4 linked regions of the Saccharomyces cerevisiae S288C genome follow. The gene in region 2 interacts genetically with the main gene of each other region. Each region holds a gene or a part of one and is shown on either strand. Other genes may lie near its edges. The genes, in order: STL1, YER137C, GFA1 and PUT1.

What was found.
Region 1: mutations in YER137C (region 2) and STL1 together harm fitness more than expected from each alone (negative genetic interaction), as found in Saccharomyces cerevisiae (one large-scale study listed by BioGRID).
Region 3: mutations in YER137C (region 2) and GFA1 together harm fitness more than expected from each alone (negative genetic interaction), as found in Saccharomyces cerevisiae (one large-scale study listed by BioGRID).
Region 4: mutations in YER137C (region 2) and PUT1 together harm fitness less than expected from each alone (positive genetic interaction), as found in Saccharomyces cerevisiae (one large-scale study listed by BioGRID).

What each region holds. Positions count from the first base shown.
Region 1 is NC_001136.10:1,506,229-1,511,677, reverse strand, and holds STL1 (glucose-inactivated glycerol proton symporter STL1), read right to left. Parts: upstream 3,674-5,449; coding exon 1,964-3,673; downstream 1-1,963. Other genes in the region: phenylacrylic acid decarboxylase PAD1, read right to left, coding at 48-776.
Region 2 is NC_001137.3:439,894-445,137, forward strand, and holds YER137C (uncharacterized protein), read right to left. Parts: upstream 1,927-5,244; coding exon 1,480-1,926; downstream 1-1,479. Other genes in the region: GDI1 (Gdi1p), read left to right, coding at 1-1,078.
Region 3 is NC_001143.9:240,079-247,100, forward strand, and holds GFA1 (glutamine--fructose-6-phosphate transaminase (isomerizing) GFA1), read right to left. Parts: upstream 5,296-7,022; coding exon 3,142-5,295; downstream 1-3,141. Other genes in the region: SEG2 (Seg2p), read right to left, coding at 1-2,505; YKL104W-A (uncharacterized protein), read left to right, coding at 4,954-5,208; metalloaminopeptidase APE1, read right to left, coding at 6,060-7,022. UniProt on the Saccharomyces cerevisiae protein: Involved in amino sugar synthesis (formation of chitin, supplies the amino sugars of asparagine-linked oligosaccharides of glycoproteins).
Region 4 is NC_001144.5:422,475-428,701, reverse strand, and holds PUT1 (proline dehydrogenase), read right to left. Parts: upstream 3,517-6,227; coding exon 2,086-3,516; downstream 1-2,085. Other genes in the region: DPH6 (diphthine--ammonia ligase), read right to left, coding at 1-1,373; RRN5 (Rrn5p), read right to left, coding at 3,928-5,019; SLS1 (Sls1p), read left to right, coding at 5,229-6,227.

The sequences.
Region 1 (5,449 bases), on a different chromosome or scaffold from region 2:
AACTCTATTAGTAGTTGAGTAACGTAATAAAATGCTCAGAAAAAGTGTTACTTGCTTTTTATTCCTTCCCAACGAGGAAAAGTGTCAGCGTGGATGCCAAAGCAGTCTAGGATCCTGCCAACACTTTGTTCTAATAGGTCATGAAGGCTCTTGGGTCTTGTATAAAACGCAGGTACCGGAGGAAAAATTATAACACCTGCCCTGCATAAAGACAACATGTTTTCAAGATGGATGGAAGATAAAGGGGTTTCCCGAGTAACCAGTAGTAACTTACGATTCTCTTTAATCGAAACATCGGCAGCTCTTGTAATTAAATCCTCTGTAAAACCGATTCTAATAGCAGCTAGTGATTTCATGGAACAGGGCACAACAATCATACCATCATGCTGGAAAGATCCGGACGAAATGCATGCAGAAACATCACGAACAGAGTATGTCTTGGTTGCCAAGGCCGCCACGTCATGCGGTTCCCAATCTGTTTCATATTTCATTGTTGCTGCACCCCATTTTGAAATCACCAAATGGGTTTCTACGCTCAACTCTTTTAGCACTTGTAGAAGTCTGATTCCCAGTGCAACACCAGTCGCACCAGTAATTGCGACAACAATTCTCTTTGGTCTTGGAGGCGAAGTTGATGCCCTGGTTACTTCCTTTGACAGTTTATGTGTAAGGAAAGATGGTGAAGTTGTAATGGTTCTACCTAGCAAAGGAAAATTAGCAAAAATGCCTGTTGTTTTGAAAAAGGCTATATTAGTTCTTCTTGGAAATAGGAGCATATCTACTCAATTGAAGCTGCTCAATGCGTTGGACTCCGTAGATTGAAATCAATCTATATTTGCAGCATTATGTTAAATGAAATTCTATCCATCACCAATCTTAAAAATGGGTCGAGTATACTTTTTCTGAGAAGTTTAACGGTAAACAGGAAAGGCGCGTCATTTTTTCTGTGCCAACTTTCCTTTTGGAGCATCTCATCATTATTTGAAAACGATACGAAGTGCTACTAATGAAACCATTTTTATGTAAAAAGGCTTTCAGACAGGAATGCAAAGTCTGTAAAATACATCCAATTTCTTGTCTGCAATTTATGTCATAACATGTTAAGCGTTTTGGCTGTCTTCACAGATATACTCTTTTCTTGTGCAATCGTTGTCAAGTTGGTTATAAGTAACAGCACTAGGTGATGTATGGTGTCCCTTGCCCTGTTTTTGATATGCCTATGAAGCGCTGCTGCGTTTTCGAGGTATGGCTTCTGCCGGGCTAACGTTCAAATTAAAGGAACTAGATTCTGCTGTTATCAAACCGACAAGAAGAATGAAGTGCATAACGTATGAAAAATAGGTCCTGTAAAGCTCTGGTAAAATCTTACTGCTCTAAGCGATGCATGATATTCATGGCTAATTTGAAATCTTGCTCTAAAACCCTTTTTGCAAGAAGAATATCATGGCAAGACCGCAAAAAGAGAATAGCACCATTTGCAGTGTTCGAAAGTTGGTGGCTTTTTGTATGTTGCAGTTAAATGATGGTAGAACAGGTTTTTGCGGTGTCCCATGAGAGAAAAGGAAGGAAGACATTCATAGAACATCCATGGCGGCACCCTGCTAAAATATCTTCACCTTAGTATTCAGATTTTCCTACTTCCGTCATCATTCGCTCCAATGTAATAACACGTCCACGTTATCAATAAAGATGTTTTAAAAATTTTTGTGGGACTATTATTGTACTTAAATAAATATTAAGACTACGGAGTCGGGCTATTTTATAAGCTTTTTATAGGCATTGCCGGCAAGCGGAAGAAAATGAAAGTGGACATATTTCCTCAAAAGACAGATCGTCTGGTGTTAAAATACTAAAGTTATGTAGTAATATATGAATATTATTGGTGCGGCAAGGAACAAATATAAACCCCGCAAAATGCTTTCTTAAGTAAATTACAAAATATGATTTGTGAGTTGTGTGTGAATCAACCCTCAAAATTTGCTTTATCGTTCACTGTATCTTCATTTTTGATGTTTGAAGAACTAGACGAATTATCGCCGTTAATTTGGTTATAGGTGTCTTCTACTCTATCTTCACCAAAGTCCTCTTTTTCCATTTCGTCGTCATAAGAGCCCAATGCATTGGCATGATCTTCGACTTCTTGTAGGGATAACTTGGGCAAATGGTTAGCAACTCTCCATGGTTGAGTGCCATCCTCGTATGCTTTAGCAAAGATGATGTCGATTTCCTCCAAACTTCTTCCGGCGGTTTCAGGGTAGAAAAAGAAGATAACTGGAATGTATAAATAATTCATAACAGCAAAAAATAAGTAGCAACCCCAACCGGACTGTCCAATAAATATTGGGGTGAACATGACAACCGCAAAGTTACACAACCAATTAGTACATGTGGAGAAAGCGTTTGTTGATGCACGAACTTTCATTGATGCAATTTCTGGTGGGTATATCCATGGTAATGATAGCAAAGACAAACCAAAGAATGTAATGAACAAAAATAAGCCGACGGCAGCACCTCTTGCGTTTTCTTTATTTTCTTTGACCAAGCATGCAAATGTAATTGTGAATGAAACTGCTTGACCTGTGGCACCTAATAAAAACAGCTTACGTCTACCTAGCTTTTCAATTAGAAAAAATGAACCAATAGTAGATAAGGCGTAGATTGTTGCGAAGACCCCACCTATGATCATTGATAATCTATAGTCTAATTTAATTGTTTTGTTGAATAATACAGTAGAGTAGTATATGGCAGCGTTACAACCAGTAAATTGCTGGAAAAATTGCGTTGAAGCTGCAATCAAAGCCCTCTGAAGATTTTGGGACCTGCCTCTGGAGAACAAACTTGACAGTGAATGTTTCTCGTGTTTGGTCCTGTTAACAGCATCGTGAAGCATAGCAACTTCTGTTATAACTTCCTCATCATTTGGATCCGCGTCGTCTAGTGTTCCTACCAAGTAGCGAGCTTCTTCTGTTCGACTTTGAGAAATCAGCCAACGTGGCGATTCAGGTAGTTTAATCATGAAAGCAAGCAGGAAGAGAGCAAAAACGATTTGCATTGACACGGGGAATCTCCACTGAACAGAACTGTTGGTATAAGACAACCCAAAATCAATCCAATAAGCAATCATAGTACCAAAAGCAATTGTGGAACCTTCTAAATTGACCAGCAACCCTCTATTTTCAGCTTTTGACATTTCTGATTGCCAAACGGGAATAGTAGATGTATTCAACCCTGTTCCAACACCGGTGACGACTCTTCCGATGATAAACTGGCCTAATGCCCAGTAACCACGAAATGCGCATGTAGAAATAACGGCACCAATGATGGTTATTACGGAACCCATCAGGATTAATGGTTTTCTACCAATTCTTTCACCGCAGAACATAACGAATAGAGAACCTGCGAAACAACCTAATTCATAACAGGAGGTTGTAGCGCCCTGCACTACAGTTGCGTGTCTGTCATGATCGCCATTTTCTTTGGTTGCTGGAAATTCATAGTTGAACTGTTTACCAGTAATTAGACTTGCCATCAACCCTTGGTCGTATCCAAACAGGGAGAAGCCCGTCATAGATGCGATAGTGATGAAATACCGCAACTTCTTACCCGTAAGTCCCCAGTGACTGGTTCTGCTTATAAATTTGCCTTTGAAATTCGATAATTTTAAATCCTTCATGGTCTAAAACTTTCTATGTTCTATTTTTCTATTTTTTATTTATTCTAACTTGTATGCTAGAACACGTATACAAAATAATTATTCAAAATCAATAAAGGGCTTGTTTATATACTATGAGTGTGACTACTCCTGAACTGCAATTCTGACCCTCTAAGGCCAAGCAGCGTTGAAGGGGACAAAATTGAAGCTAAAACATCTCACTTAAGCTTTCTCAATTTCTCTATCTACTTCCTTTTTGTTACGAATGCCCCAATGAAAGCCCTATCAAAGGTGAACCAAAAGTGTTTCCCTTACCGGGATCTGCACTTTCTCAGATTACTACTATCGCGAAGCAGCCAAGCGCAATAGCTGCACCTGGCGAGGATTAACCAACCAAAAACGGTATATAGCCGAGAAACAGTGTACAACCATTATTTCTTTCTGACGTAGTGGATGGCTGGACACTTTCCGCTTATTTTAGTTTCATGCAACGAACAGAGCCGCTCGAACAGGCGACGTAGCGCCGAATACCCCGCGAAACGGAGATGCTACTCAAATGCAGGTAGCGGAGGCATCGCCGTGGGGTATGCGGTGGCCGAAAAAGGACAAAGTCGGACCCTTCATATCAGTTAAAATGACGCAAGTTGAGTCAAAGTGAGCCAAATGGGCCAAATGCGGTGGAATAGTGGGACAACGGCACTTATTTCGTCCGTACGTCCGTTATGGATGTGTATACTATTTCATGATTGGCTTACCTCAAAGAAAATGAAACGGATGGTGCCTCCTAGCCTTGGCAATGAGTATCAGTAGTGGTGTTCTGCAGCCCTTTAATTCTATCTTGGCCGCATTCCAGACATATCCCTTATAGTTATGACGTATATGATTGTGGGGCATTGTTTGCCAAGGAAAATGGAGTAAGTTGAATGAAGAATATGGATTAGTGGTTCTAGGTCGCTCGTAATATCAGACTGAAAGACATTATCTTTGCAAAGGTTGTAAAAGGAGTATTTCAGAATCATTGCTGATTCACACGCGAGACCACATTAGTAAATTTTCTACTCTCGGGCTGAATTCCTCGGCGAAGCTTTGCCTTGCCATTTTAGGTGAGAATACGTATTTGCGGTATCATATTGTTTTTCTTCTCTTCCTTAACTCATTTAGAAAGTTCGATAGTGAACAAAGCGCTACACAAATATTTGATCATGGCAAAGTTACCGCGCCAATCGCCCTGCGCATTGTAGTCGCCTGCTCCTTCAGTTCGTCCGCTGGTTGCGGAATATTTGAATGTCAGTTTTCAACATTGAAACATCAGATAATGTTGGTATCGTGTTTAAATGATGGACGCATCTACGTCACCTTAAGTGCGTTTTTGCCTGTGAGATTTTTATTTCATTGTGTCCACTTGCTATTGTCTGGTTGATATTCCGATGTTTGTCGAGTTTTTTTATTTGCTCTCTGCTTTCATTTTTCTGCACTTCTGGCACATGGTCTAGCCTTTCTTAGTCCAGAAGCAACTGTCACCATTGAATAACGTTGCACTTCAACCTGTCCGTTTATCCAACTGTTTATATCGGTAGAAATAAGGGTATAAGAATAAATTGGCTGGTCAATTGATCGATGAAATTATCGAGCTTTTTTTTTTACTGCATGATCCCTGTCTTCTGAGGCTGTGTAACTTTTTTACTGCCTAAGAACTCTCGGACCCTTCTTTGGTGTTGCCTCAGAAATAGTATGGTGTATTAGCACCATAATAAAAATTTTTACAAAAGCCACTATTATCCTCACTCACCGATGAAT
Region 2 (5,244 bases):
TGAGCTGACAAATATTTTAATACATACCGATGTGACCAGATATGTCGATTTCAAGCAAGTTTCTGGCTCCTACGTTTTTAAGCAAGGCAAAATTTACAAAGTGCCAGCTAATGAAATAGAAGCCATTTCATCGCCATTGATGGGTATTTTTGAAAAACGTAGAATGAAGAAATTTTTAGAATGGATTAGCTCTTACAAAGAAGATGACTTGTCCACTCATCAAGGATTAGACTTAGACAAGAATACCATGGATGAAGTGTATTATAAATTTGGGTTAGGCAATTCTACCAAAGAATTCATCGGTCATGCAATGGCTTTATGGACCAATGATGACTACTTACAACAACCTGCTAGGCCATCGTTTGAGAGGATTTTGTTATATTGCCAAAGTGTTGCCCGTTACGGTAAATCACCTTATTTGTATCCTATGTATGGGTTAGGCGAACTTCCACAAGGATTTGCTCGTTTGTCGGCTATTTACGGTGGTACTTACATGCTAGACACTCCAATTGATGAAGTATTGTATAAAAAAGACACAGGAAAATTTGAAGGGGTCAAGACTAAGCTGGGAACTTTCAAGGCCCCATTGGTTATTGCTGATCCAACTTATTTTCCCGAAAAATGTAAATCTACTGGTCAAAGAGTTATTAGAGCCATCTGTATTCTTAACCATCCAGTTCCGAACACCAGTAACGCGGATTCTTTACAAATTATTATCCCACAAAGCCAACTGGGAAGGAAAAGCGATATATACGTTGCGATTGTTTCAGATGCGCATAACGTTTGCTCCAAGGGTCACTATTTAGCAATTATTTCTACAATCATTGAAACTGATAAACCACATATAGAATTAGAGCCTGCTTTCAAACTTCTGGGACCAATCGAAGAAAAATTCATGGGAATTGCCGAATTATTTGAACCAAGAGAAGACGGCTCTAAGGATAACATTTACTTATCCAGATCATACGACGCATCCTCTCATTTCGAATCCATGACTGACGATGTTAAAGATATTTACTTCAGAGTAACAGGCCACCCATTAGTTCTAAAACAAAGACAAGAACAAGAAAAGCAGTAAATTCATACCTTTACGACTAAAGCAGCAATTGGAGGGTAAACTTATTTTTTCCGATAATGTTCTTGGCAAATGAGTTACCAATAAATGACATGAATTACAGAAAACAAGAAAATATTTGCCAAAAAAAAACCAATACAAAAATATAGGGGAAAAGATTATCCTTTATTCCTTTCTCATTCCACTTTTTTTTTTTGTTATATGCGTATTCTGATTGATTCATAACTAAGTATCTTTCCTTTTCTTTTCTTTCAATTTCTTTTTTCCATATATAAATACATAAATTTACATACCTTATGTAGTATAATATATGGAAGAATGCTACTGAACACATCAGTACACATGCTATGTACTTACAATCTTAGTAAGGTAGATGTAGGTCTAATGCTTCGATGATCCCTTCATTATTTCTTGGGTATAACTGTCAGTCTCGCACCGCAGTGTGCCCTTGTGTGGCCAGCCTCGTGACAAAATGAACATTTTATCTTATTTTTTTTCTTTTTACTACTCTTTTTGCTGGTTACTCCCTGAATAGTGCTCGTAGTTTTATCTGCCTCTTCCTTGGCTTTAATCGGTATCAGGGCATATTTTTGATCGTCTTTTTCCATGATCTCTATTCCATTCCGCAGTACCATGTCAAGAACACTAGTATTCATCATACTTCCCACAGTGCTTTCATGCAATCCCAGTAGTAGGTTAATGAATTTCTCTAATTCTTTCAACTTATGCTCGTACTCAACTTGTAATTGTGATCCATCTTTTTGCTTTGAAATGATCAACTTAGCCAGGACATCCATAGCTTGTGACAATCTGACTATATCATTTTCAGTCTTATTTGATGATTCACACATTCCTTGTTATAACAACCCTCGGTATTCTTTTAACAAACTTACGATGACTATATTGTATTAGTGTCAACCTCATCGCCAGGAACTTTTCATTGAAAATCTTCTGACAAATTTTCTGTGTAAAGGAAAGAAAATGGAGTATAAAATCGAAAGTTTATTCCAATTGTGCTAGGCTGTAATGGCTTTCTGGTGGGATGGGATACGTTGAGAATTCTGGCCGAGGAACAAATCCTTCCTCGCGGCTAGACACGGATTGCACGCCCTTTGGGCAAGGGATAGTTCTCTATTCCGCACCGTGCCCTGTTGTGGCAACCGTCTTTCCTCCGTCGTAAATTTGTCCTGGGCAGAGCTGTCTGCCCGGAGGCGGGAGAGTCCGTTCTGAAGTGTCCCGGCTATAATAAATCGATCTTTGCGGGCAGCCCGTTGGCAGGAGGCGTGAGGAATCCGTCTCTCTGTCTGGTGCGGCAAGGTAGTTCTGGGTCCTTAGGGGCTCCACCTTCACCGCTGTTAGGGGAGTTTTATCCAGCGTCAGCAAAGGTGACCCGTGATGGAGGCGGCCGGGATAGCACATATCAGTCGGATAATTGTGCAAGTTGATCGCTTCGGCGGTTTAATTTGGCGGTGCCATCAGGATTTACTCGCACATTGTGGCCGTTCCCTCGGGGATGGAGTGTGTCCTGAACCATATTTTTTAACATTTTTTTGAACTAATTAACCGTCCCAATGAGGGATGTTGGAAGAGTAAGTTGATTTAATGTCCTATTCTTGTTCTTTTCGAATATAAATGACGATTGGAAGGTGCATGTCAATGTTTATCATCATGTTCTTGTTGTAGGTAGTCCTTACCTTGGTTGTAGAGTGAGTAGCGACAGGCGGCAGCGGAATATAAGAAGGATAAAATGAGAATACTTAGAACGTGTTGAAAGAAGAATAAACGATCATCCATCGACTAGTACTGCTGCTACTAGTGTGCTGTCATACTACTAATATATTATCATATACAATATAAGAAGATGTCATAAACATTGAAAATAGTCATCAAATCTAATGGAAGCTGAAATTCAAGGGTTGATAATGTAATAAAATAAAGAATGACAAAGTATAAAAGGAAGAAGATAGAGTAACATTATTATGTAGAGCTATCAATTCGCTTTTTGTAGATTCCTATTTTTTCTCGAGGAGAATTGCAGCATATTCGTTCCACGTAATATTGCGGCCTTTAACAACAATGTAATTCCAACAATTATCTTAAAATTTGTCTATATTTTTAAAAAAGTATGAACAATTACCAACATGTGGTACATATTGGAGGCCCGCAAAGCTGAGTTGGCATTCATTCATTCTTTAAGTTGAACAAAAAGACAAAAAGATTTTCAAAAAAAATATGGTCTCTAGCGGGATCGAACCGCTGATCCCCGCGTTATTAGCACGGTGCCTTAACCAACTGGGCCAAGAGACCAAATTTTAATGAAATACTTTTACTGGAAAGAAGGTAACAAACCATGGAAGATGCTTTTCTACCACCCATGAAAGTCTGAGATTTTTATTAATGATGTTGGAATAAAAATCAACTATCATCTTGAGAAATGGGTGAATAATTAGATAATTGTTGGGATTCCATTGTTGATAAAGGCTATAATATTAGGTATACAGAATATACTAGAAGTTCTCCTCGAGGATATAGGAATCCTCAAAATGGAATCTATATTTCTACATACTAATATTACGATTATTCCTCATTCCGTTTTATATGTTTATATTCATTGATCCTATTACATTATCAATCCTTGCGTTTCAGCTTCCACTAATTTAGATGACTATTTCTCATCATTTGCGTCATCTTCTAACACCGTATATGATAATATACTAGTAATGTAAATACTAGTTAGTAGATGATAGTTGATTTCTATTCCAACATACCACCCATAATGTAATAGATCTAATGAATCCATTTGTTAGTTAATAGTTTAAATGTTTTTATCGGAAGAGGTTTTGTCATCACATCAGCAATGTTCTTCTTGGTCTCGATGTAGTATACGTATAAATTATTACCTGATACTTCATCTCTAAGTCTCATTGCCTTTGTGCCAAAAAATCTGTTTCTAAATTTCTCTTCATTTGTAGACTTAATTATACTGATCGTTGATCTACTATCAGTAAGTAAGCCTTTAATAATTGGTTTCTTGTTAAGTTCTTGTATCAGGTAACTTAGATTATTTAATAATGGGACAGATTCACTTATCGCGTGTATTTCTGCTTCCGTAGTTGAAGTACATGTTAATGAAGCCTTGGTGGACTTTCCTCCAATTACCTTTCCATTAAGTAAATATATGTTGCCAATTTGTGATTTATAATACGGTTGGTTGCCATACGAAGCATCACTTATTGCGACTAGTTTATTATCTGGCTCGGTAGGTTTGTTTTTGTGCCATATCAGTTGTTTATCTCTAGTGTCCCACATGAATTGTATCAACTCATATGTCATGTCTAAAACTTGCCTAGAGGGGAATAGTATATGTTGAGCAAGTGTGTTGATGTAGTATAGTAAGTCAAATCTAAATTTATATCCAACATATGAAGCTAGACCAATCAACTTTTGCATTTCATGTACCTTCTCTTTGTATTCATCTTCATCTATTTCTAGTTCATCCTGGTCTATATAAAGACCTGGTTGACCTGGAGCGCTAAGTTTTCTTCCTTTTGGATTCAAAGGTACGTTTAATTTGGGTATTTTCTCAGTTAATGAGTTTTCCATACCTAATTTCATGTATTTACCTCTTTGATATTTGATTTCTAAGCCAAGTATGTCGTACTGAATTTCGTTATCACTTTCACCCAGATTTATTATCTTTGTATCGTATTGTTTCTTGAGTGTTGTTATGATTTTCTTATTTGCATTTAAGTCTTTGCTGAATAAAATCATGTCGTCAACAAATAAACATATTGTTACTTGACTATTCTTAAATACGCATGACCATCCACGAACTTCTTCCATACCACACTGTTTTATCAGGTATGATTTGATAGTTTCGTACCAGTTCGCTCCACTTTGTTTCAATCCATAAAGTGATTTCTTCAAACGTATCAACTTATCATTCATTCCTAAATGTGGTGGAGGTCTTATGTATAATTCTTCTTTGATGTCTGCATACAAATATGCCGAAGATATGTCTAATTGTGTAATATAGTAGTTATTGTCTAATGCAAGTGACAGGGATGTCATTAATGCATAGTGATGTACGGTATTGGATTGCATGCCTGAGTCGTAAGTGTCAGGATGCTGAATATCACCTCTTGCAACAAATCTAGCTTTATGAGTAC
Region 3 (7,022 bases), on a different chromosome or scaffold from region 2:
ACGTAGAGTTCTTAGGCACGAACGATTGGTGATTTTTCTTTTATCGTCGAGACGCTTGGGAGACATCACGGGTATTTGATGAGAACTAGATTGATCGTATTTCTGTTTTGAAATACTCGTCGGAGGGCCATGGCTGTTCGTTTTCGTATTGGAAGCAGTTTTCCCTGTAGAGGAATCAATATTTGGAGACGTTTCTATCGAATAAATGGACGAGGAAGTACTTGATGGAACGGCTGATTGTTTCAAATCAGATCTAAGTTGTGGTTGTAGTGAGCTTTTCAAAAGGTCAGGTGCAACTCTTGTGGTATCCGTGGAGGACTTGGAGTTCACGTTTTCGGAATCTAGGCTGAAAGTGTCTGAACTTGTGTTAGTGAGGTAAGGATTAGCACCACGTAAATACTTGGCCATGTTTGTTCCGGACTGACTAACTTCTGCATTTTCAGAATTTTGTTCCTTCTTTTTATTATCTTCTGTCTCGGTAGAATATTCTGAAGGGTGTTTTAATGAAGGCACGTCAGATATATCTTGTTCTATTTGAACCGGATCTCTCATTATCACGTCATAAGAATCATGATATTCATCATCATCGTCATCATCATCGTCATCATCATCGTCAACATTTTCATCATCGTCAACATTTTCATCCTTGTCATCATCGTTAACATCATCGTCCTTGTCATCATCATCGTCATTATCATTGTCTTTGTCATCATCATCGTCCTTGTCATTGTTGGGTCCATTATTTTTGTCCATAACACTACCAGTCTCATCCTCCAGTTTAACGTTCTCGATCCCAGAAGTGCTAGGGAATTTTTCAGAACTTTCCGGTTCATTATCGGAAAGCGCCTCTTCTTGATCTTCTTTTTGGACTAAAAAGCAATTTGTATCGACGAGGCCTGACTTTTTTCCCTTTGTACGTTCTTCCTGTTTTTCACTATCATCATCTTGCGGAATTTTTAGTCCAACCTGATTTCCGCCTATTTCAGACTCCACACTTGTCTTTGCAGTAGCGCGAAGATCAGTTGCCGAGCCTTCTATATAATTATAATCGGATAATTCGCTGCCAGTGAGACTGTTTGAATCTGCAATGCACCTCACTTCGTTATCTGAATTCATGTGGAAGTTAGAATTGTTTAAAGAGCCGAGAAGAATAGGATCTACTAAATTTCCTTCGGCATCAACAGAATCGATATTCTCTGCATTTTCAATATTCTGAGTTTGATTGGAGAGAGTTGATGGCTCTTTCTCCACGTCTTCCGGAGGTACATAGGCAGGCTTAGGTTCTGATAAAGTAGGTTGACGAATCGTGATCGATTTGACCTCGGATGCTACTTCCTGTCCTTTGTGAAAGTGTTGTTTTCTTTTGCTTTCAATTAGTTTTAATTCTTGGGCTTCAAGGTCGGCATTCTCCTTAACTATATTTAGCTCTCTTTTCAATAACTCCATTCTCCGTTCTTCATCTAGCTTAACTTTTCGCAATTCCAAAATTAAGCTTTGTTCCCTTTCTTCTTCGTTCAATTTTGCTATTTCGATATTTGATATTTTTTCCTCCAAGCTATGAACCTCTTTAAGCAATGTTTCAATTTCTTCCTTTTTCTCACGTCCACTGAGACCACTTTTATCTTTTTTGGGTATGCTACGATCGAGAACGCTGGGTTCAATAAAAGAGTTTTCGTCATCGGATATAATCATGGGTTTAAATTCTAAAGGATCATGAAGATCCTCTTGCAGTTCTTGTTCCGTTTCCTCGTTCATAGTTGTTGGTATTAATGGAACATTGTTATGCCGTTGCTTTAATGATGTAGTATGCATTTTAGATAATACTTTGCCATGATAATCGTTTTTTGATTTACCGCCGCTTTCACTTTTTTTCTCTTGTGATCCTGCTTTCTTAGTAGTTTTATTCCTATGCATTAGACTAGTTTTGTTGTTTCGAGTAGGCAAAGAATATGCTCTACCACCTCGTTGGTTTGAGCGGTTGCTCAGACTGTATCTAGGAGGCTCTACTTCCACGGGTACTTCCACAGCCATTAACCCCCTAGGGCCTGGTATGTATTTTTTTATCGTCCTTATTGTGCTGCCTGAGTTCCCAAGTGATGTGGTCCTTGATTTACTATTCTGACCAGTCGAACTTGAAATGTTTAAAACCTTCGATGACTGCTTGCCTCCAAATTCTCGAAACGTGGTTTCTGCATCCTCGTGAGCCCTGTGTTGCCTTCTCCCCGCCGAATTATTAGAGGTATTCTTATGTCCTTGGTTTGGCAAACTCGACGTGCGCTTAGAGTATTGGCGAACGTTACCATTCATTAAGAGCATCCTTGAGTTAGTCCTAGAATTCGAGAGCATTGTATACCTATTAATCCCTGCGATTGACGTAGTTCGAGAGGTAAAACTCTGATTGTATTGCGGTATTTTACTCTTGTCAACGGTCCTCCCATTATAACTGAGCGCATTTCCAATTGCTGCTGCTGCTGCTAAGGCATCTGGACTACTTTCTTGGATCATCCCGCTATTTCCAATGCTCCCACTATTTGTTGATACTTGCCTCTTTCAGAGCTATCTGCCTTATGTTGATTATTAGGGTTAATAAATGCTATTTCCTCCCGCAATAATTGTGTAATTTGAACGAAGAATATGAAGAAGATGGAATGGCGATTTTCACTCTAAATTTTAAAAATTGCCTCTTTACAATAGCGAATTTCCTAACCCTTTTTTTTTTTTGTTGATTGCCTATTGCTCGTTCACTTCCCATTTATTTTCTCTCGAATTTCACCAAAAGTTGATGTGGATAATCAATCATCGGGCCTATTCCTGCGGGTAAAACGCAGGGCCCAACTCAGGATAGGGTTTAATATTATTTTAGAGGACTTACAAGAAGGAAGTTATATGGTTTAAAAATTGTAACAAAGTTAGAACACATTTATTTAGCAGGTCTAATTTAGGGCTGCAACTATCTTTTTGGTTATTCATATAAAATATAATTTTTTATTTATATAGAGAATACAAGTGGAATCATCTTTAACGCCAGCTTGTAGTGCGCATTGCAGAATAATGGAAGTTCAAAAATTAAAAGCGAAGGAGAAGTGATAGTAGAAAGACGGATGGGAGGCTGGGGGACGAAGAGAAAGTAAAAGGGTTAATTTATTCGACGGTAACAGATTTAGCCAAGTTTCTTGGAAAATCAACATCAATCCCTTTATTAACAGCCAACCAATATGACATTAGTTGTAATGGAATAATATTAATTAGACCTTGTAAACAATCAACAGTTTGTGGAACTTCTAAGGTTTGCAGGTCGATTGATTTAGATTTTTGCGCCCACACTTCATCATTTTCGTTACAAATAATAATTGGATGGCCCTTTCTTGCAGTAACTTGCTCAATAGAGGAAACTACTTTAGGGAATAGAGAGTCTCTGGTACCAAAAGCAATGATTGGCAAGTTTTCGTCCACCAAGGCCAAGACACCGTGCTTCAACTCACCTGCCAAAACACCTTCAGAATGCATATAAGAAATTTCTTTGATCTTCAAAGCACCTTCCAGAGCAGCAGCAAATTGGTAACCTCTACCCAATAACAATAGAGATTTTTGATCCTTTAATTCAGTCGCACAGAGCTTTTTTATTCTTGGTTCCAGCTTTAATACCTGCTTAATTTGGCCCGGGATTAACTTCAAGCCTTGAATGATTTCAATTCTTCTGTCTATTTTCGATACACGGTCATCTGACAGCGATAGAGCAAACATCACTAAGGCAATATACTGGGAAGTATAAGCTTTTGTAGAGGCAACACCAATTTCAGGACCAGCGTTAATATGAACACCACAGTGGGTGACACGAGAGATAGAAGAACCAACACTGTTAACAATTCCGACAGTTAAGGCTCCTCTTTCTAAACAATAATTTAGAGCCAGCATGGTATCCGCAGTTTCACCACTTTGTGAAACAAACACGCATACATCGTCTCTGAAGACAGGGCATTTTCTGTCCAGAAAGTCAGACGCTAATTCCACACTAACTGGGATATCTGATAATTCTTCGAAGATAGCACGAGTAGCCAAACATGAATGATAAGAAGTACCGCATGCGATCATGATCAGTCTCCGTGCTCTTCTGACAACTGGTAACCATGCCTTTAAACCACCCAATATCACTTTATTATTTTCATAGTCGATTCTACCTCTCATAGTATTGAAAGTAGATTCTGGTTGCTCATAGATTTCCTTTTGCATAAAATGGTCGTAAGGGCCCTTCATGATCTGAGCTAACTCCATCTCTAAAGTTTGAATGGACCTTGTCATTGATGCGCCTACTTCTCTTCTAGATCTATGAATATGTAACTCACCATCGTAAATATGAGCCAAATCGTCATCTTCTAAAAATAGCACCTTCTTGGTATGTTTAACAACAGATGCCGCATCCGAAGAAACAAAAAATTCCACCGGTGTTGGAGATCCATCTTCTGATAGGAAAGCCCTGGATTGAGAATGTCTCAAGTTAAATTCATTGGCGGCAATTGGTAGTAAATTGGCATTTTGGGAACCAGCTTCAAATTCACGAGCTTTCTTTGGGCCCAAGCCAAATGATTTGTTGTTAGATTTCAATGGAATTTCCGGTTGACCAGCGTTTTCTTCGGGAAATTCCACATCCACGAAGTCGACTTTTAGTTTTTTTTCAGATTTGACACCAATCAGTAAAGGGGACCCTTTTCTAGTGGCGATAACCTCATTAGGATAGTGACAAGATTTACATAATAACCCGTATGAACCTTCTAGTTCTAAAAGAACTAGCTTGGTTAATTCGTGGAAATCTAAGTCATGCCCATTTTGTAAATTTGTATTGTATAAATGCAAATATAGTTTAGCAATACACTCGGTATCGGTATCACTTTCGAATTTATAACCTTTGTTAATTAAAAGAGTCTTCAGTTCTCTAAAATTTGTGATGATACCATTATGAACGACCACAAATTGGTCTTCTGGGTCAGATCTTTGAGGGTGACAGTTAACTTGTTCTGGTCGACCGTGAGTAGCCCATCTAGTATGCGCAATACCACAATGAGAGACAAAAGTAACGTCTCTGTTCGGATTTTGCTTAGTAATCTCCTCTTTCAAAGCACTCACTTTACCGATTTGCTTATAGATGAAAGTAGAATCAGCTTCGTCACCATCGATAGCAATACCGGTGGAATCATAGCCTCTATATTCTAATCTTTGTAAACCATCCACTAAGGTGTCGATAATTTCTCCTCTGGATCTTTCCACTAGATAATTGCAGTAACCAAAGATACCACACATTTTTTTATAAAAGTTGCTGTTGATTTGCTCGAGAACTTATTGCTTATTTGGCCCTGATAACTATATAAGAAAAGAAATACAGTTATTCCTTGTTTATGCTGGCTTTTTGTCCACTTTTTCTCAACTATATAACTATGATGTTGGAAAGGACACCGGTTCTGTAACTTTGCAGTGAAAATAAGTGTGATGGATGACTGAGAATGCTTTCTTGTAAGCGAAAAGAAGTACGTGTTCCAAAAATAAAGCAGAAAGGCGAAAAGGGTCGAATGTAAGACACTAAATAAATATTTTAAGAAGAGGAAAAGTCGCCTCAGAAACGCTAAAATGCATCCGATTTCCCAAAGAGGAAGTCTAATGTTTTCGATTTGTGAAAAAAAGATAAAAATCGAAGAAAATGTAGGGAGCCGCGCGTTACCCGGATTGATATTTGAGTGATCGACGGCGTCACAAAAGAAAGAATGCTTGGCTAATCAAGAAAAGTATGTGGTTTGTTTCATCTAATACGGCTGTCAAGGCCCACATTGGTGTTCAAATGCATTTTTTATAGTTCGTGGTTACTGTTAATATTCTTTCCTAGTAGAATGTTTGGGGTTTAGGTATTTTTGATGTTTTATTTATAAATAGATATTTATATCTTGACGATTGTGGTGTTTTATTTTTTTTTTTTTATACATTTTTCTTTTCTTCCTGATTCGAAATAAAAGTATTTTTAGAAAAAGGATAAAGAAACAGAAATCAAAAGAAATAAAAAGAGTGTGGCAAAATCACAACTCGCCGAATTCATCGTAGACTGATCTCCAGTGCTTGAAAAATCCGTTGAAGAACTTAACACCTAATCCGACATCCTTGGACCCTGTAGCAGCTCTGATGCTGTGCATGGACAACTGTGCAATTCCCAGGTCTATGGTACGAGCACCTGTTTGAGAAGCCAATGATGGGCCGATAGTACCACCTGATCTTGAGTTGTTTTTGATTTGGAAATATTGCACTTTGTCTCCATTGCGGCGTGCTAATTCTTCTACTAGGGCAGTTCCTACGACATCTGTGGCCATATGACCGTTAGGATCCAGTGATAAAGTGATTCCGACATTAGGCACTGGAAAATGATTCTTCAAATAGACTTCAGGAAAGTTTGGGTTGTAGAGGTGGTTGACGTCTGCGGACAAGATGATGGAATTAGCCCAAACCGTATGCAAATCGACCGGTTTCTTAGTGAATGCAGAAGAACTGCGTTCCACCACTGACTCCAACAAGCCACCTTTTGCGCCTTGTCTTGTCAACGATCCGATTTCTTCATTATCATACAAAGTGACAGTAGAGAATAAATCTGATTCCTCGGTATTAACATCCTTAGCGTAGCAAATCAAAGCAATCATTGCTGCGAAACTACACAACCTGTCATCTAGACGTGGTGCAAAAAGGAAGTGTTTACCAATACCTCCAATGGTACCCTTTTGCACATCGAATAAGTCTAAATCCATTTGAATCAATTCGGACACTTCCACACCGGCTAATTTGGCAACGTACCTTAACAGGTGGATGCAGTGTTTGCCAAATAAGGGCGATTTCTTTTCATCATCCGTGGGAGGTTCATTACCTTCCTCATCCGGAGTGGGGAAGCCGATGACCGGGATAGTTTGGTCCTCTTTATCAAATGGGCCTTCAGCAGGTTTACCGAAATGGGGAGCCAAGGAAGGAATTCGACAAACAGGTAGGGGTGTAGAATC
Region 4 (6,227 bases), on a different chromosome or scaffold from region 2:
TCATCGTTTAACCAAGTACTTTGGGAATATGGTCCGATATTACATGGAGCCCAATATGAACGGCCTTGAACATGTAGTCCGCCCTTATTCTTGTTGATTTTTTCTTTGCCTGTATTTTTTACATCAACAACAACTGATAACTGTACGTGACAATCTTCTGGCAAGCACTTCGAACCTACGCATGCTCTTGATGGTGGCAAAGGTCCGTATTTTGACAAATCTAAAAATTCATTGTATATTTTGTTGATTTTTCCGAAATTAGACATATCTCTAATTAATAATGACGCAGATAAAATATGATTCCGTGGAATCTGGTTGGAATGCAGAATGTCGGCTAGCTCAGTAAAAATATCTTCACTTTGCTTCTCGACCGTCTCACTTTTACGTGATTGTAGGTTAGAGATGTACAACTTATCATTGGTTTTATTGATTGTCGTTTGTGGTAGAGCATTCGACATGTGATTTTCAAATCTTTGTTCTCCTGTTTTAGCTTGTTGCTTTGGCAAATTTTGGGTTAAATCTTGCCAATTATTACCAAAAATCGAAGGTACAGGTAATTGATCTAATTGGTTGAGTAAAAAACTTTTGCTCAAATTACGCGGTTGAAATTTTACCTTTAACCTTGCATTGTGAACTTCACCATCGCTACATTTGACAATATCAATTAATTCCAAGTATCCATGTTGGAAAAAAGGGGCATCCAAGACCATTGTCTCAAACTCCCCACCCTCTCCACAGATATGAACTTGATAAAGTTGGTTAAGTTTCTGTAACACCGGTTGCATCATAGGCAAGGACATTCCTAAATGTTTCTCGTTCAATCCAATTGCTGCCACCTTGATTATCCTGGCGTCAAATTTATTTCCTGAATTAGTATCGTTTTCAACATTGTTAACATCCTTGGACATAAGGCACATTTCACCCATTAGTTCGGCTTGATCCCTTTGCCATAAATAGCTTAGCACTACTAGACCCAATCTGGAACAAACATTTTCCACTCTGGTCCTCTGGTAAGACGATAAGATGGCACCTACACTAACAGCTTCTAAATCTGGAATTTTATCTTTGACAGTTCTTAGAAGTTCAAATAGTTCTTCAATTTCATCATCCTGAGTAGCAGTATAATTCAACTCGACGTTGTTAGAAGTGTTCCGTAATATTGAGCGTCTAAATAGTGGAACACCAATACATTTAGAATAATAGTCTATTAAGTCATGTCCTACTGTTTGGAACATGAAAGAGTCTAATTCTTGCTCTTCTGATTCTTTTGGGTATATATTTCCCAGGGCAATCAATTCATGGTTGTTCTTCAGGCAGTGAAAAATATTGTAGAACGAGTCCTTCCCACCTGATATTAATGCTATAAACTTCATGATACTGACTTATTGGGCTTTGAATTTTGATATAGCTTTATCAAAGATTTCCGTTTGAACTAGCTATTCATCATCCATCAGATATAAGTGAAAAAAAGCTTCTTTAATAGAAGCTTAAAAAAATTCTCCGCGACGGGGAATTGAACCCCGATCTGGCACGCGACAAGCGCCCATTCTGACCATTAAACTATCACGGATAAGAAACACTGGAAAACTATGTATCCCAAAATCCCATACGTTGGTTTACTAACACTACTAGATGTATTATTCATAGGTACCCCAAAATCCTTACAAAGAGACAAGGCTGAGTGTATCAAGCAAAACCGCTTTAAATCTGATGTTCTGCGCTTTCTCCCTTTGATTAGATTCAGGTCTTATGTAGTTTATAGAAGATGAGTACCTTTCTTGTGCATAAGAGTTGATAATAAGCCTGACGACGACAAGCCACTTTCCTACCGATTTAGGATTGGCAAAACATCTGGTACTATTCGAACCCATAATCAATAGGAAGAAAGCTTTACCAACAGATTGTTATTTAAGTGGTTCAAGTATATTAACTCTTGATATCCGTGCGTTTACTTTACTATTAGTGTTATTATCATTACTTATATATAATATGTATAACTAGAACATCAGAATTATGTATGCATACTTTTTTTTTTTTTTGGTTTTTTGGTTTGTCTTTGAAATTGGAGTATATATTATAGTCCTCTCATAGGCCTACTCTTTTTGGAATCGACTTTGCTATGGCCTTGATTAATGGCCAGCCATTATCAGATCTCACAGCATCCCCGTTTTCTTGCAATCTTCTCAAAAGATAATCTTTAGTTTCCAATGGTGGGCCCCATGGGACATACTTGATTATGTTTTTAGCGCCATGGTTGGTAATTAGGTCATAGGTAACATTATCTGCCATACCTAGTAATTGCCCCAACACAATGTTCGATTTGGCATAAGAGTTGTCTTGGGTAGATTTTAGCAAATTAGTAACGAGCATTTGGGATTGGTAATTATGAGAGGCGACAACCAAGTGACCAAAATAAGAATCCTCGCCATTGATGATTAAATCATTGACAACTTGAGTGATGATACGATCGTAATTTTCGTCAGTGCCCGTTTTATCGCCAAAGATAATTTGGTTACGGTTTTTTTCAGAATGAATATAAGCACCACGAACCAGTTTCAGCCCAAGCTTATAGCCGTTTTCTTGGGCCAGCTTCAATTCGTGCAAAATATGGTCACCAGAGTCCCTTAGGTACAACTGCCAAGTACCGACACATGATATCAGTTTAGATGAAGTGGGATTGAATTTTTGAAATAAGATTCTCTGTAATTCGTAAACACCATTCTCCTGCAAATCATACTTCTCAGCGTCAATAGTGGAAACCATAAATGGGGCCTTTCTTTCAGGGTACTTCTTTAACAAAGATTGATTTAGTTCAAAAATCTCTTTTGTAATCTTAGAGCAGTTCTCGATCAGCTGATCCCTTTGAGCCTTGTAGGCGGGATTACTGAAATTGTACAGAACCTCGTGAGGGTTATCGACCAAAGCAGAGGGTTTTAGAGCGATATAACCTGGAGCAATGTCATTGATTGGCTTAGATTCCAGCTGGCCAATAATATTGGGCAGTAGGATGTTGTGGACAGAGCTGATTGTTTCCTTGACAATTTGGTCTACTGGAGTACTGGACAAACTCTTTGTACCTTCGGAATTTTCAATAGTTAATGAAAGCATCATGTTCGATATACCTCTCTTCTGCAGACGTTTGCCGCATTCGATGACCTCTTTAAAGTTCTCACCGCCACAGTATAAAGAAGAGACGAAGAATTTTATTACTGGGATGGGGATGTAAGGGAACAACTTAATGATCGTGTTCAGGAAGAAGCTGTTCAAGGTCGCAATACCGATGAATCCCAGTTGGAATAGTTCCTTCTTGGGAAGTGTCTGTAGAAAATTGATTGAGTTAGGAGGTGCCATCACACTATTGCCGTTGGCATTGGCGGCCGGAGTTTCAACCATCAGATTAGCAGCCGTGTTAGAGTGTGTCGGAGTCTTTGACACATAGGACCTCTTTATCAAAGGAAAGCATAGAGAGGGTATGCGCGATTTAGTAACTAATAAGGAGCTTTTGGAAGCTATCATTTCTAGCGTGCGTTAGTGTTATTACTATGTAGCGATGTTTATGATATATAAAAGACAAAAGAGAAGAGCTGCTACGGACTTGTGGAGTTTGTGTTCGGTTCCCAGCAAGCTTTATATAAGAAGGCAGAAGGGTGAGAAAATGGGCTTAGTTCATGCGATTTCTCCTGATAATAGACGATACTAAGTACAATAATGAGATGATAAGGGAAATAGCGCCACTCATCAATTGTTTATCATTCATTTTTCTTGTGTAGATATGCTTTTCGGGATGCGAAACCCGAGGCGTGGTAACCGGAAAGCCATTGCCGAAAGGAAATTCCAATCAAAAAAGCGGTGGAGCTAACGGAGGGAATAAGCGAAAGAATAATGAAAACAAAAATTATGTCCCTGCGCGATTTTTCGCATTGTGTCTCATTTGGATAACCATTTTAGCAACTGATTTTCATGTAATGCTGATCGGAACAAGTCCGCTTCGTCGATTTCATCCCTTTCTGCCTCGCTTTCACCTTCACTTGCAGTGTTATCTTGTTCTTGATTTTCTTGATTTTCTTGATTTTCTTGATTTTCGTCTTGATGGACTGGGGGCGCATCCCGTCTGGACAACTGGCTTTGTAGAAACAGATGTGCCATCTCCTTGGTGCGGAACAGTTTGCCCTCTCGCGGATAGTCTAGTTCCCATTTGCGCAGTGTCAAAACAATGCGCCTTGGAAGCACGTGTAGGTCACGTGATCGGGCTTCTGTGCATAGTGCACGCTCAACTTGCCGGCGAGTTACCACCGTCGGTAGCGACTTGTGTCCTCGAGATTCGGCCGCCCTGGCGCTGACGCTGCGGGAAGCCATACCCGCAAGGGCCGTGCACCACAGCAATGTACGTGTGTAGCGACTTACGCAGCGCTCCAAAGTCTGCGTCGCGCTGCGCGATAGCGGCAGCGCGTGGCGGGGCAAGGGTCTTATCTCCGCGATACGGCTGTGCGAGTAGATGGCCACCCACCTGCGTTTCCAGCTTTCATAATCGATAAGGCCCTCGCAGTGTCCTTCCTCATCGGCAACCTCGGCTGCGCCTTCCGTGATGGCCATCACTGTCTCGCTCAGTTTTGTCTCCAGGGCAACCCACTCAGCGCTCATTTCGTACGCAATGGGCGCTCCGTCGTCACCCGCCTTACGCGATCTCGCGCTCGCACTCGCTCTCCTTAACAACCTGTAATAACCTAGAATCTCCATGGCGCTCTTCCGAGGCAACAATGAGCGCCACTCGTCTACACGGTGGATACTATAGCGTGAAAGGCACCAGAAAAAGGTATTCTTCTCCTCGCTGTCCCAGTCTACACCAACGCTAGAGATTTCTACACCAGCATTGGCGGTACCCGCCTTTTCATGGATGCTCTTTACATGTACTTTGGAAGGATGGAACTCAGCTGGGCGGCCTGACGCGGCACCATTGTAGAATTCCTCGACCTCCTTATTGTACAATTCGACGTACTTCCGCAATTGTTGGTGCTCCATCCTAGGTGACCGTCGTATGCGCTGTGCTTTCCTAGCTCTTCTTCCACTTCTGTTTCTCTATACTTTTTTTTTTGTTTTTCACCTCGCCCGCCTTTTCTTATTTCAGTGAACTGAAAAAAAAAAAAAAAGTTATGTATCTTTAATGTAATAAAACTAGTACATAATATATACGGAGCTTGAAGGCACTGGAGAAAATATAGAGTAAGCATATGTGGAAATTCAACAAAAAGCTCGCCCGTCTTACTTACCGTCTTTATTCAAGCTCAGGCCCAAGCTCGCCCCTTCATGGGAAGAAGAAACTGCCGCAAAATCTGAAATTCGTCGTCTTGAACCCTACCCAATCTGGGCTAGTGAAAAATGATCAGAAGCAGCCTAGACACAGGCCGTCTAAGAAACGTAGCCATAAGGAAACTGGAGATAACAACCTCGATTTCGGCTCGAAACTCCTTGTCTTCGAAAAGCAGAATTCACTAGATTCCGCATTGAACTCCATCCGATTGAAGAAACCGACAAGCGCCAGTCTGCCCTCCCTGGAATACAATGCCCTTCTCCAATCGCTTACATCAAGCTACAATCGCTACCAACTGCGCGAGTTCATCTCCACACATCAGCCAGACTCCTCTTCACATCTGACGCACTGGAAGAAAAGCAAGCTGTCCCAATATATAATTGAAAAAATCTGGAATTGCCAACCAATTTCAACACCCACCACTCCCACAGGCATCAAGTCCACATCATTGACTTTCCAGTTCGATTCTCCTAGAGAAATTTTCCTTTTACTCATCACTCAAAATGGTAAAATACTCACCAACTTCAATAAGCTCGGGCTGACATTCATCATCTCCATTCAGGATAACGAATTGACCGTCAAGGGTTCGCCTAGCTTGCTCAAATACGCAGAAATATCCTTAAACAAAATATGGTCAAACATCACTCATGAAAATGTGCGTATGTATTCCCTCATGCCATCAAAAGACGTCATCAACCTTATTCAGAAGGAAACTCACACTTTTTTTGAATACCTCCCGGACTTGCAAATGTACAAGATTTCAGCCCTAAGCACCAAGAAAATATCCATGGCCAAAGTCTTTTTATTAAATGCCGTCGCTTCTAATCCTAACACAACTCAACACCACCACACAATAGCCTCACCAGCACTCAAGACAGAACTCTATCCGTTCAACAATACTCTAGAGAACTTGGACTGG